3 linked regions of the Sus scrofa genome follow. The main gene of each other region encodes a partner of the protein of the gene in region 3 in a complex. Links are inferred from orthologs where the notes say so. Each region holds a gene or a part of one and is shown on either strand. Other genes may lie near its edges.

Region 1 (4,311 bases), on a different chromosome or scaffold from region 3:
TATTCTCTCTTAACCCCTGTAAACACACAAACACACACACACACCTTTTAAGGATTCCCATAAACTATAGGTCAATGCCTATGTTTTACTTTAAAGCTCATTACTAGGGTGATCTAGGCTATGTTAATCCTCTTCTCTCATGGTCTCCTATTTCAGTTTATTCCTTCTATTTGATCAAAGCTTAAGGCAGTCTCGTTATCCACTTGTCCTTTATATGTTTTGAGGCTGTTTCCCAAGCTGTGACATAAGAATGCAATCTTCCCTTTCAATACATGCCTGATCTCCCTTTTTTTCCTATTGGTTTTCCCAGCTAATCTCAAAGACTTGACAGCTTTTCCCAGCCCTATGCTGCACAGACACAGAACTTTTTAAATTATGTGTATAACTCTGATGAGGGATTCAGCACATTTTTTTTGGGCCATTCTTACAATATCTTACTGTTTGTTTCTTCCAGCAAATGTTCATTCAGCAGCCAAAGCCTATTGAAATCTGACAAGGTGTCAGCACTGTGTTAGATGCTGTTAATAAAAAATGAATAAAACACTTTATCTGCCTAGGATGAGCTCAGAGTCTAGAAAGCAAAGGCAGCATGTAAACATGTATATAATAGTGCATTGTGGTAAGTATCACACCCTTCTTTCTGATGTGAAGGAAAATGAACTTCCTCTGGGGGAGTTGATAAAAGCTCTCAGAGGCAGTGAGATTTCCATTAGTCTTGACACCTAAGTAGGAGTCTGCCAATCAGAATTCAAGGGTGAGAATAAGGGTAAAGGAAGAAGAGGGCATCTGAGTAAAGGGAATCCAGTGTATAGAGGCCCTGAAATAATTGAGGAGCATGCTGATGTGTCTGGAGAGGTCTGATGGGTTAAGTGTGGTTGGATGTCTGGTGAATTGAGTGGCAGGGATGAAACTGACAGGGCCTGTGTGGAGAGGATTGAATTTTGTTCTAGAGGCAAGACTCTTTAAGCAGGGGAGTGTAACAATCAGATTTGTCTGTTACATGTCCCTTGTCATTGATCTAATCACAGGGCTTTGGGTTTTGGAGTCTGAAGGGGTTGTGCTCTGCTTGTTTAAATGGAGGTGCGCAGGGTAGCCTTTCAATTGAGACCGCTGTGCTAATTCACTTTATTACTACCCTGGCCTCCAAATGCTGTCTCTCTCACCATGGCCAGGGTTGGACATATACTGACAGCCTTTGTCTCTCTGAACTCCATTTTTCTGTTTTGACACCTTCCATTTTCAGTTACACTGACGTGATCTTTACTGATCTGTATTGTTGACGTTTCCGCCCATCCTTTCCTGTGTTTTAAACACTCTGGCACAGCCAACAGCAGCAGCAGCAGCAGCAGTAGCCACGCCCACTCAAGCAGGCGCCCTCTCAGGAAATTTGTCCGCAGCAGCGCGCCGTAGTGACGGTAGCGGCGCGCATGCGCAATTCTCGACTCCTGGCGGCGTGTTCCTCTTTTCCTGGGGCTCCCGGCATCCCGGTCGGTCGGTGGACGCCGACTCTGCACCGCTTCCCATTCGCGGCCTTCCCTGTGCTCCGGTCGTTCGCCCCGCAGTTCACCCAGCTCCCGGGGCCGCTGCTCAGGTTTGTACGCCTCCGCTGGCGACAGACCCATGGCTGAGCGCGGGGAACTCGACCTCACGGGCGCCAAACAGAACACTGGAGTGTGGCTGGTCAAGGTAAGGTTTGCGCGGCTCCTGCTTGTGCTCCTCCTTAAAGTAGTTGAAGTGACTTGAGACTGTCCCACGCCGTGTACCTTTTAAACTTCTTTACGGTCGTCTCGTTAGATCTTCGCTTATTGAGAGGCAGGATTCCTTGTTACGCTCGTTTGCAGACAAGGAAATTAGTTGAGGGACGCCCGATACCTTTTAGCCAATTAGGAGTCTGAACCTGCTTGTGATGGATCTCCTTTCCCCATAACCTGTTTTTTTCGGGACCCTATCTTGATGTTCCCTCAATGTGACCGATGTATTTTTTACCCTATACTGAAGAATTTCTGCGTCTTTTCTTGGTGAAACTGATTTTAGTTATCAGTCTGTGTAAGGAAGTTGGGTGTCTGCTTCTTGTACAGTTTTTTTTTGCAGCCATTGGGTAGAACTGACCCCTGCGTACCCCTAAAGTGTTCTTTTAGGTTGATGGCTGTTGTGGAGTTCTCAGGAGAGCTGAGAGAGCTCTGAATTCAAGGAAGAAGAGGCCATGGACTGGAGAGTTCTTTTAGAGTACAACTGGATCTCCTAAAAACTAATTGTCAATTATTTTTTTTTGTAAAGAGAGCACTTAGCCCTTAGCAAAGTATTTGTACTTTACTTTTGCATATTGGAGAGTGTTGTCTCTTAGGAGGGTTTCATAAGGCATGTGTGTTCAAAGTGTGATGATGACAGTCTTTGAAACTGAAATGAGATGTAGGGAAATCTTTGGTTTGTTAAATGTATTCATTTATTTTACTTTTTACTTATTTTCATTTTTGGCCACCCCGCGGCGTATGGAGTTCCAGGAATCAGATCCGAATTGCAGTTGCAACCTGAACCGCAGCTGAAGCAATGCTGGCTCCCTAACCCACTGTGCTGGGCCTGGGATCGAACCTGCTTCCCAGCACTCCCAGGATGCCACCGATCCTGTTCTGCCACAGAAGGAACTCCTAAATTTTTTTAGACTTTGATCACATGACTGAGTTCTCATCAGTTAAATGTGAGCGGCCCTTCCTGTTTATCTGTCTTAAATCTCTTTTATTCACCAGCATATTAAACCTGTGTTATAGTCTTCAGAGCACTTGTCAGAGTCTTAAGTGTGTCTGTGTTCAGTGTTGTTTACCTCCCTTTGATTAGCACACACACAGTACCATTTCAGGAGACTAGGATCCTTGCCTGTCACACCCAGAATTGTATTTGACACATAGTAATAGTTCAGTAGATACGTGATGAATGAATGAGGGAACTCCTCAAGCCTAGCTTTAGGCTCTGGCATTCATTTGACCTGTCACAGCTATATCAGTACCATGTAAACTGATGGAGTAAGTGTCTCTTTTCTCCTGCCTACCAGGTGGAGGGGAATCATTAGGGAGGAGATGTCTGTTGGAGACTTAGAGCTTAAAAAAATGGTGAAGCTTGAGATGATGTGTTCGGGCTTGGAGCACCATAAAATGCTCAACAAATTTGGTGTTTGCCTTCCAGAGAGTTGGTTCGTTGAACCGAGGCCACCCATGGTATCTCTGTAGTATACCATGGCGAGTGGAACCAAAATCCAGGAGTGAAAATGCCCAGTAAGATGGTGTGTCCTGGAAAACAGAGATCACTGCGCCTGGAGGAGAGGATTGGGACCATATACTCATAATGTCACACTGGGAGATGGAGATGTCTTAGCTCTACCAGAAGTGAGGGACCTTTTGGAGGGTTTTAAGTAAAACAGGGAGGCACATGATTGTTTTAGGAAAAAAAAAAAAAAGCTTGAGGGGAAGATAACTAGTTAAAATTAGATAATTGTCACAGGCTCATAGGCATTTGATAGTTAGGTCTGAGAAGTTAGGGAAATTTCTCCAGCAAAAAGTTGTCAGGATATGATGACTGAGTGAAGGAGTATGTGAAAGAATGTAATGAATTGAAAATGAGCTTAAGAAATTTAAGTGTTATATTTGGCCATTAGACTACATTTTACCACTTTAAAAACACCTCAGCTCAAACCATTGATTTGTTCTGTTTCGTGAAGGTAGTTGTAATGTTTTGTTTATTTCTTGCAATATCATTGTTTCCTCCTATCAATTTGGCATGTAGTATTTCTTTTTCTAAACTTACATATCAAAGAAAATAACAGGCTTGCAATTACTGCATCTTTCCAGGGTGTGAAAGAAGTTTTTCTTTTTTTTTTCTTTTTTTTTTTTAACCAGTTTTTGTCCTTTGACAAACTTTGCCTCTGAAAGAGGATAAGAATTGCTAGGAAAGGAGTTCCCGTCGTGGCTCAGTGGTTAACGAATCCGACTAGGAACCATGAGGTTGCGGGTTCGGTCCCTGCCCTTGCTCAGTGGGTTAACGATCCGGCGTTGCTGTGAGCTGTGGTGTGGGTTGCAGACTTGGCTCGGATCCTGTGTTGCTGTGGCTCTGGCGTAGGCCGGTGGCTACAGCTCCGATTCGACCCCTAGCCTGGGAACCTCCATATGCCGCGGGAGCGGCCCAAGAAAGAGCAACAACAACAACAACCAAAAAGACAAAAAGAAAAAAAAAAAAAAAGAATTACTAGGAAATACTTTGTATTCTAAAATCTGTTCATGTTCCCACTATGACAACTTTTATTTCTGCTTTAATTAAAGGAGT
Region 2 (4,036 bases), on a different chromosome or scaffold from region 3:
GGCACAGCAGAAACAAATCCGACTAGCATCCATGAGGATTTAGGTTTGATCCCTGGCCTCAATCAGTGGATCAGGGATCCGGCATTGCTATGAGCTGTGGTGTAGACTGCTCGGATCCCAAGTTGCTGTGGCGGAGGCAGGCAGCTGTAGCTCTGAGAACAGCTGTAGCCTGGGAACTTCCATATGCTGAGGGTGAGGCCCTAAAAAGCACATAGAGAGGGAGGAAGTACATCTGCTTTAACTATTAAGGAACAAAATACATTCAAAGAATAGTACAAATATGCATTATGATTATTATCCTCTGAATTATTCTCCTGCCAACTTCCCCTTGCTAAAAGCAAAATGGACTTGGTCTGTTTTTCATTGGTATGATCACTTGCTAAACATCTTTACGCCAGGTTTAGGTCTTGAAAATGTTGCAGCTCATATTGAAACTTTAACAAAATTTACACAGGAGACTTTGAATGAAAGTCATTTTTTTAAAAAATAAAAAAAAAAAAGAAGGTAATGCTATTTCTTTACTCAACGATGAAATGACGTCAATGAGAAAAGCTATTCTACAAATCAGGATGGCCTCAGACATTATCACAACCTCCCAGAAAGGAACCTGTGCCATCATTAAGGTGGACTATGCTGGATGCTATTTCTATTTTATTTTATTTTTTGTCTTTTTTGCTATTTCTTGGGCCGCTCTCGCAGCATATGGAGGTTCCCAGGCTAGGGGTCTAATAGGAGCTGTAACTGCCAGCCTACACCACAGCCACAGCAACGCGGGATCCAAGCCGCATCTGTGACCTACACCACAGCTCATGGCAATGCCGGATCCTTAACCCACTGAGCAAGGCCAGGGATGGAACCCGCAACCTCATGGTTCCTAGTCAGATTCGTTAACCACTGCGCCACGATGGGAACTCCTGGATGCTATTTCTTTACCCAATGTTGAAATGACTTTAATGAGAAAAGCCATTCTACAAATCAGGATAGCCTTAGACATTATTACAGCCTCCCAGGAAGGAAACTGTGCCATCATTAAGGTGGAATCTTGTGCTTTTATTCTTGATGAATCTGCTAATGTATTTCAAGTGCTAAAACACAAACACAGATTGAGACCTTCAGTTGCCTTCTTCCAGATTTGGGAGGGCTTTTGGAGGAATGAAGGAATGGATCCCCAAAATCTTGGCTACAATCTCTTTTAATTGCTTACTGCTGCGTTTCTCTTGATTTCTTTAATAGATTTATCATCTGATGCGGAAGATCAACAGAAGCCACAAGGTTAACACTAACAAGCAGCATTGGCTTATTATTTTCCCAACAGAGGAGGGACAGGTGTTATGCTCCTTCTCTAGACAGACCTATGACCCATCTCAGGAGGAAGCAGCTAATGATCGGTCTCTCCCTATTTGCTCATTTAAGCATAATGGAGTAAAACAGCTGGAGGAAGGAATGATGGGGATAGAGTAGGATAATCACATAGTTTAGAAGTCCCACTAGGGTTTAAAGACAAAAAGGAAATGTTAAGGGGGTTTGAAGACTGCTGTAAGCCAACAACCGACCACTTAAGAATCCAGTAACTTAGCAACAATCTACACCACCTTGAAGGAAGACCAGGTGTATCTAAGCACCAGAAACAAGCCACAAGTCCTGATAGTTAAAACCCAAGACAAGAGATATGGGGTTTCAATCTTGTTACATGAAGTCAGAGTTATTGGTCCTTGAAGACTGGCATTGCTGCATGTAGACAAGGTGAAAGAGGGAAAAAACTAGGTGAAAGGGGAAATTATTCTGCAACCTGAAACGAATTACCACATTTTCGCATATGTTACCGCTTCTGCTAATATACCTATGATTTAAACAGCCCATGACACTCCCCCTTAGACCATATAGGGTCAAAGGAGGAACTGATGATGCAAGCCTGGACCATCTTACCCAAGAATGAGAAATAAGGTGGTCTTCTCCCCGCCCCACTTTCACCTTGATTATAAAAATGTAGCCCTCTTTGTTCTCTGGGTCGCACTCCCTTGCCTGCTCATTAGTATTTCTGACAAGCGTCCTATGCTAATAAATTCACTTATTGTGTATCGGTTTGCCTCACGCTGAATTCTTTTTCCCACGAGACAAAACCTGAGGCTCAGGAAGTCCTGACGATAGCAGGTGAGCGGTATCAATTAAGACAGTGGGTTTGAGTCCCCTCCTACGTCAGGGACCATGGGTTCAAGTTCCAATGGGGGTTTTGGCTGAGTTCGAGTCCCACCCGAAAGGGAGTGCAGCTTCAATCTTTATTGCTGTTAATCGCCCTTACCACAACTCACTAGAGTCGTGTTACCTGTACTCTTTTCCAAAAAGACCGAACCATCTCGTTAGCTTGTAGAACAAAGCAGAAATTGTGCACATCGAGTGCCTAACACATCCAGAGCGAACCCCCAAGGCAGTTTCCGAGGAACAGGATGTTCAGAGTGCAAGATCCGATCCTCATACCCTCTCTGAACACCTCCAGCTCTACCCACCTTCTCGAAGCGGTCCTGGTCCCAGGCATCATCATAGCCCGAATAGTTACCGGGAAAATCGGTAGTATGAACCTAGAGCAAAGAGAAACGAACCTGTTCGCGAAGGAGCAGCGAGGCCAAATTCATCCCCACTCCGACTCTAACTCATCCCTGCTCCGCTCTGATTTCTCCTCCCGAGGTCAAGTCCACAAGACTTACATTGCGAACCCCGAACTCCCCTAGAACCACGCGGCTCCGCATTTCCTCCACAGCCTGAGCCGCCGCCATCTTCAACTCCACCATGTGACTAGAGTACCAAGCCTGCGCGTGCGTTCTAGTCTCCCTGCCCCGTCTCCGTGGCAACACACCACCTCCCGGAATCCTAAATATCGCGAGAATCTGCCCCGCCTCCGTCCACGTCCTCAGATACCGGAAGTCAGTTTTAACCAAACATCCGGTTTTCTCCTTTTTGCGTTCCGGCCGATCCCACCTTTCTTTCTAGTCCCTGGACCTGTCCATCCGTCAGGCCCTCATCTCTCCCACTCCTCCTCAGCGCGCGGGACTAGCGCGGGCTTCAGCGACGGGAGCCCTCGAGGGACATGGCAACTCCGGCGGCGCCGGCCGGCGGCGCCCGAAATGGGGCTGGCCCGGAATGGGGAGGATTCGATGAAAACATCCAGGTAAGCGCCCCACGGCTCCGGCTGCCAGCAGCCCCACGGCCTGCAGCTGTCCTGAAGTGTCATGGGGACTCTTCCTTCGAGCCTTGGAAGTCTGCTCCGTTTGCAGAACTTTTTGTCTTCTTTGGGTCTTCGTGCACGTGAAAGGCAGTGGAACTAGTGCGGACCTAAAAGGTCCACACTAGTACCTCTGAGCCCCCTTGCTCTTGCTTTCCGCACAACTTAGAAGGTCGGGCACGGCCAGGGGCGAGGGTGGGATGGGGGGTAGGCGGGATTCACTGGCCAAAACCACACTGTGCGCGCAGCCTTGTTTTGGGGTGGAAAACACAAAGGAAATGGGCACTTTTGCAGCCTTTTGTGGCTTTGGTAGGAAAAGGACACGTATGGAAGACAGGGAGTAGGTTTCCCAGGCTGGAAAAGAGAGCCAAACAAAGGTTCTGAGAGCAGTTGAGGGGAGGGGAGTGGCATGGTCTATGGTAATTCTAAGCCGTATCTCCAGCAGTGAAAGGACAAAGCTCCAAGCTCTCCGGTGAACAGAGAAGGACATAACGGATGGAGCAGAAAGGTCCTCCACTGTGGGATCCGTTGTCTTCACAGGGTGGGGGCTCAGCTGTGATTGACATGGAGAACATGGATGATACTTCAGGTTCCAGCTTCGAGGATATGGGTGAGCTGCATCAGCGCCTGCGTGAGGAAGAAGTGGATGCTGATGCAGCTGCCGCTGAAGAAGAGGATGGGGAGTTTCTGGGCATGAAGGGCTTTAAGGGACAGCTGAGCCGGCAGGTGGCTGATCAGGTAAGCAAGACTGGCTCTCTGACAGGTGGAAAAGTATCCTGAGGCCTCTGGTTCTGAGTTGGTATTAGTGAAGTTCACCCC
Region 3 (4,231 bases):
TTCTGGATCTCCTTGCTACAACTTGTCTTTACTCTACCCCTCTGTAGGGTCCCAGGAGCCGTTTGTATTCTGCATGTGTTAATTCCTCCTGATCTCCATAGACTGCATTAAGTGCCAGCATCTTCTTGAAATCTCAAGCTTGAGAGTTGGAATCCAGGTCAGCTTGCAATGATTAAAGTTATACTTTTTGGATCACTCCATAATCTTTCTCTTATGATAACAATGGTTTTATCTAATACTTCTTGGAGCAAAGCTTATTTTGATTCTTCTTTTGGGTTACCTCTTCCCTTTGGCTGACAGGAGAGATATTTTTTAAGATGGTCAAAATACTTGTATGTTCTGTCTTAGCCTGTCTGTGGAGGAAGAAGCAGGACACTCCACTGTGTTTCCTGAAATTTTTACAACAGGGAGCTAAGAAGACTGGGAAGATTGAGTTAAATCTCTCAAGTTGGTCTGTGGAGGTGCCGGCAGTTGGAACTCCTCCTGGAAGTGTAATGCGAAGCTCAAAGTTCCCAAGTTTCCGTATGGAAGACCAGAGAGCAGTATTGCCTGCTTAATAAGAAACCAAAATAATGCATGTTGGGAAGAAAGAAACCTGCTTCTCCAATTAACTGTAATAGATAACGAATATGTATTTTCTAAATTGTAACAACTTCATTTTCTTCCTCTCATTCTGATATTAGTAAAATGCCTGCTATGAAAGAAGCAAACGAATGTAAATGTGTACATCCAACGATAATGTCTCACTAATAGTTTGATCTTTGAAAGGATTCCACTGAGCAGGTCGTTTTGTTCTTCTAGAGAATACATGGGACCAAAGGAGGGTCGGTAAACAGCCACCACTACCTAAATCCCTCAGCTTTAAGTGGCAGTAGTTGGATGTAGCTGCCTGCAAGTCCGCCTGTGCTTTAAAACGAGTAAAAGGAGAGGCTGAGAAGGATGACAGGTACCTAAGTGAGAAAGGGTCGAAAAGCAAACATTATGCAAAGGGCAGGAGGCGGCTGTTCCACTGCCGGCGGCACAGGTATTAAAACGATCTGAAATCCATAATCTGAAAACTGCTCTTCTACGTGGAAATCAGCGGTGAAACCGATACTTCCACGTTCTTTGGAGTAACGGTCAGCCCAGGGATTCCATGAGCACTTCACTTGGGTATCTAACGCTCTGACCTCTTGGAAAACTGTTACTTTCTGCGGCCTTCATTTGTCATAGAAACAAACCTCCTTCGACCTGAGAAACTGCTAAAATTCTTTGCCTCCCCGAAAAATGAAAATAGTTGGGAGCCAAATAAGAACCTCTACAGAGCGAATCAAACATACATAATTCCAATTTAACTGCCCGCGCTCAATCCGGGTTCTTCGGCCACTCCTTGGGCGGAAGGGGCGGAGACTACATCCTGCGTCATCTGCCAGTGCCGGAAGTGGGCTGACACACAGCGGCCTCAGGAATCTGTTAGGGAGCCTCGGGAAGTTTCTCCGTGTTCCGTGGGTAGGGGTTTGGCGGATTGGCGGTTTGGGATTGGAAGGTGAGTGTTTGGGCCAAAACTGGAAAGATACTAGGGGTTACAGGAGGTCCGGTGTGGGATTAGAGTCGAGAGAGGCTGGGGATGGAGTCGATGCTGTTAGCCCTTTGGCTTGTTTAGCTGTTGGGTTGTCTGCCTTTTCAGCTGTTAGGAGTTATTTCATTATTTTTCCCTTTTCTTCGGTTCGCATGTTTTCCTGTTGAGGGGTATAGTTTTTTGGCAATTTCTTGCTAAATTTTGGGAAAATTTCACTTGTGGGAGTTCCCCTTGTGGCGCAGCGGAACTGAATCAGATGAGTATCCTTGAGGATGCGGATTCCATCCCTGGCCTCGCTCTGTGGGTTAACGACCCAGCGTTGCCTTGAGCTGTGGTATAGATAGCAGACGGGGCTCGGATCCCGCGTTGCTGTGGCTGTCAGGCCTATTGGACCCCCTAGCCTGGAACTTCCACATGCCGCGGGTGGAAAAAAAAAAAAGAGAGAGAGAGAAAGAAAAAGAAAAATTGGAGTTCCCGTCGTGGCGCAGTGGTTAACGAATCCGACTAGGAACCATGAGGTTGCGGGTTCGGTCCCTGCCCTTGGCTCAGGGCAGGGTTAATGATCCGGCGTTGCCGTGAGCTGTGGTGTAGGCTGCAGACGCGGCTCGGATCCCACGTTGCTGTGGTTCTGGCGTAGGCCAGTGGCAACAGCTCCTATTCGACCCCTAGCCTGGGAACCTCCATATGCCGTGGGAGCGGCCCAAAGAAATAGCAAAAAGACAAAAAAAAAGAAAAAGAAAGAAAAAGAAAAATAGTACTTGTACTCGTGTTAAATGAAAACCAGAGCTTCGCAGTCAGATCTAAATTCCTCTGCCTTTTAACTACTGAATAATCCTGACCAAATTAACCTTCCCTAAATCTTAGTTTCTTGATCTGTTCATTAAGAGTAATTATTTAACCGCCTAGAATTGTTGTAGAGATTATAATGAAATAGCATGTGTAAATATGAAATCTGTAAAGTGTTTATGGAGTCCAGTTTGGGGGTAAATGCAAAATGCTTATTTGTGGGTTTGATTCATTCTTTAGAACCAGCGGTAGGATTTTTAAAAAGTACGGATTAGGAATTGGGAACTTTTTAGCTTTTTAGCTTTCCCTGAGAAAAATAAGGCATGATTGGATTTGTGAGGGGCCCCTTTAAGATGTTCAGTATTTGAATCTGTGATTTCAGGGATAACGATGGACACACAGAAGGACGTTCAACCCCCAAAACAGCAGCCAATGATATATATCTGTGGAGGTAAGAGTGGCACTTACATAAAATAAAAGTATTTTACCTCAGTTTTTTAAAAAGATAGTGCATTTATCTTTATTTTACTTGAGTCCTTCCTCTTTGAAGTTAGCGCTTTAGCAACTATTTTAAGATTTCATTTTCTCTCCTAGAAAAAGTGCGTTGCCCACCACTCTTTTCTTTCTTTTCCCTTAATATGTTGATAATGTTGAGATTTAGTATACATATTTTAGTGCTTTGGGGGAAAAGTATAATTAAGATAATTTGCTTGCCTCTTATTTCTCTTTTAGGCATTGAATAAATATGTTTTCTCTTTTAGAATGTCACACAGAAAATGAAATAAAATCAAGGGATCCCATCCGATGCAGAGAATGTGGGTACAGAATAATGTACAAGAAAAGAACTAAAAGATGTATCCTTTTAACTGTGTTTTCTAAATATGAGGTAGGAGGAAGTGGAGAATAATGCTTGGGTTGATAGTCAAAGACTAGCTGTTAAAAAATGGTAAAACTTGGATTACTTAGTGAAAAAATAAGCATGGAGTTGCCATCGTGGCTCAGCGGACACGAATCTGACTGGCATCCATAGGGACGCAGGTTTGATCCTTGGCCCTGCTCAGTGTGTTAAGGATCTGGCATTGCCATGAGCTATGGTGTAGGTCGAAGATGCTACTGGGATCCTGAGTTGCTGAGGCTGGTATGTATGTAGGCCGGCAGCTACAGCCCCCATTCGACTCCTAGCCTGGGACTTTCCATATGCTGCATGTGCGGCCCTAAAAAGGCAGGGGAAAAAAAAGCTTGATTAGCATTGTTATGGACCAATATGCCGGTACATAGGCATATACTAAATAATCTAAATACTAGTTAATTTTGGTTTTCATAAGTGTATCTTTCTTGGATTCTATATTTAAGTACTCATTCTTGAGCTTTAGTTCATGGACACACTAATTATACAGGGAGAAATAAAAATATTGAGACGTATATTACCTAGTGGAGAAAGTGAGGCTTACAAATTAGTAGAAAGTAAATTGTTATGTAGTAACTAACAGTATTTTTTAGATTGCTAAATTTTTACCTTTACCATCACTTAAGTATTTTTTGGTGTATTGGTCTTTTGTATCATGAAAAGGGGACTAATAATTAACTAGTTTATTTTTAGTTCATTTCTAATTATCATAGTAAATAGTGAATTTCATTCTTTTGTGTATTTTAAATTGATGTCACAAAGAGAAAGTGACTTGGAAGAGCTAAATTTTTAATGAAATCTTTAATTACTTTTCTTTTCCTTAACTCAGTTTAATACAGTGGTGGTTTTTGATGCTCGATGAAACGTGAAATTCAGAGGAATATCTTCATTTGGATTTGCTGTTGATGTTGTATAGCTTTTGATTTGTGTACTTTAAGAATACAGCTGTGTATCATGATTTCATTTTAAAAACCATATTG

Evidence for each region. Proteins that work in one complex are often made in the same cells at the same time.
Region 1: POLR2K (region 3) and GTF2F2 share a complex: the UniProt entries of both Homo sapiens proteins name them as parts of the TBP-based Pol II pre-initiation complex. The link is inferred for Sus scrofa from reciprocal best matches to the Homo sapiens genes POLR2K and GTF2F2.
Region 2: POLR2K (region 3) and POLR1C share a complex: the UniProt entries of both Homo sapiens proteins name them as parts of the pol I pre-initiation complex. The link is inferred for Sus scrofa from reciprocal best matches to the Homo sapiens genes POLR2K and POLR1C.

What each region holds. Positions count from the first base shown.
Region 1 is NC_010453.5:22,142,072-22,146,382, reverse strand, and holds the start of GTF2F2 (general transcription factor IIF subunit 2), read left to right. Parts: upstream 1-1,461; 5' UTR 1,462-1,620; coding exon 1,621-1,686; intron 1,687-4,311. UniProt on the Homo sapiens protein: TFIIF is a general transcription initiation factor that binds to RNA polymerase II and helps to recruit it to the initiation complex in collaboration with TFIIB.
Region 2 is NC_010449.5:38,510,335-38,514,370, reverse strand, and holds the start of POLR1C (DNA-directed RNA polymerases I and III subunit RPAC1), read right to left. Parts: upstream 2,851-4,036; 5' UTR 2,787-2,850; coding exon 2,703-2,786; exon of another isoform or gene 2,631-2,702; coding exon of another isoform or gene 2,598-2,630; intron 2,577-2,597; coding exon 2,505-2,576; intron 1-2,504. Other genes in the region: protein YIPF3, read left to right, coding at 3,083-3,163, 3,758-3,955. UniProt on the Homo sapiens protein: DNA-dependent RNA polymerase catalyzes the transcription of DNA into RNA using the four ribonucleoside triphosphates as substrates.
Region 3 is NC_010446.5:36,849,776-36,854,006, reverse strand, and holds the start of POLR2K (DNA-directed RNA polymerases I, II, and III subunit RPABC4), read left to right. Parts: upstream 1-1,384; 5' UTR 1,385-1,525; intron 1,526-2,726; 5' UTR 2,727-2,734; coding exon 2,735-2,795; intron 2,796-3,105; coding exon 3,106-3,198; intron 3,199-4,090; coding exon 4,091-4,113; 3' UTR 4,114-4,231. UniProt on the Homo sapiens protein: DNA-dependent RNA polymerase catalyzes the transcription of DNA into RNA using the four ribonucleoside triphosphates as substrates.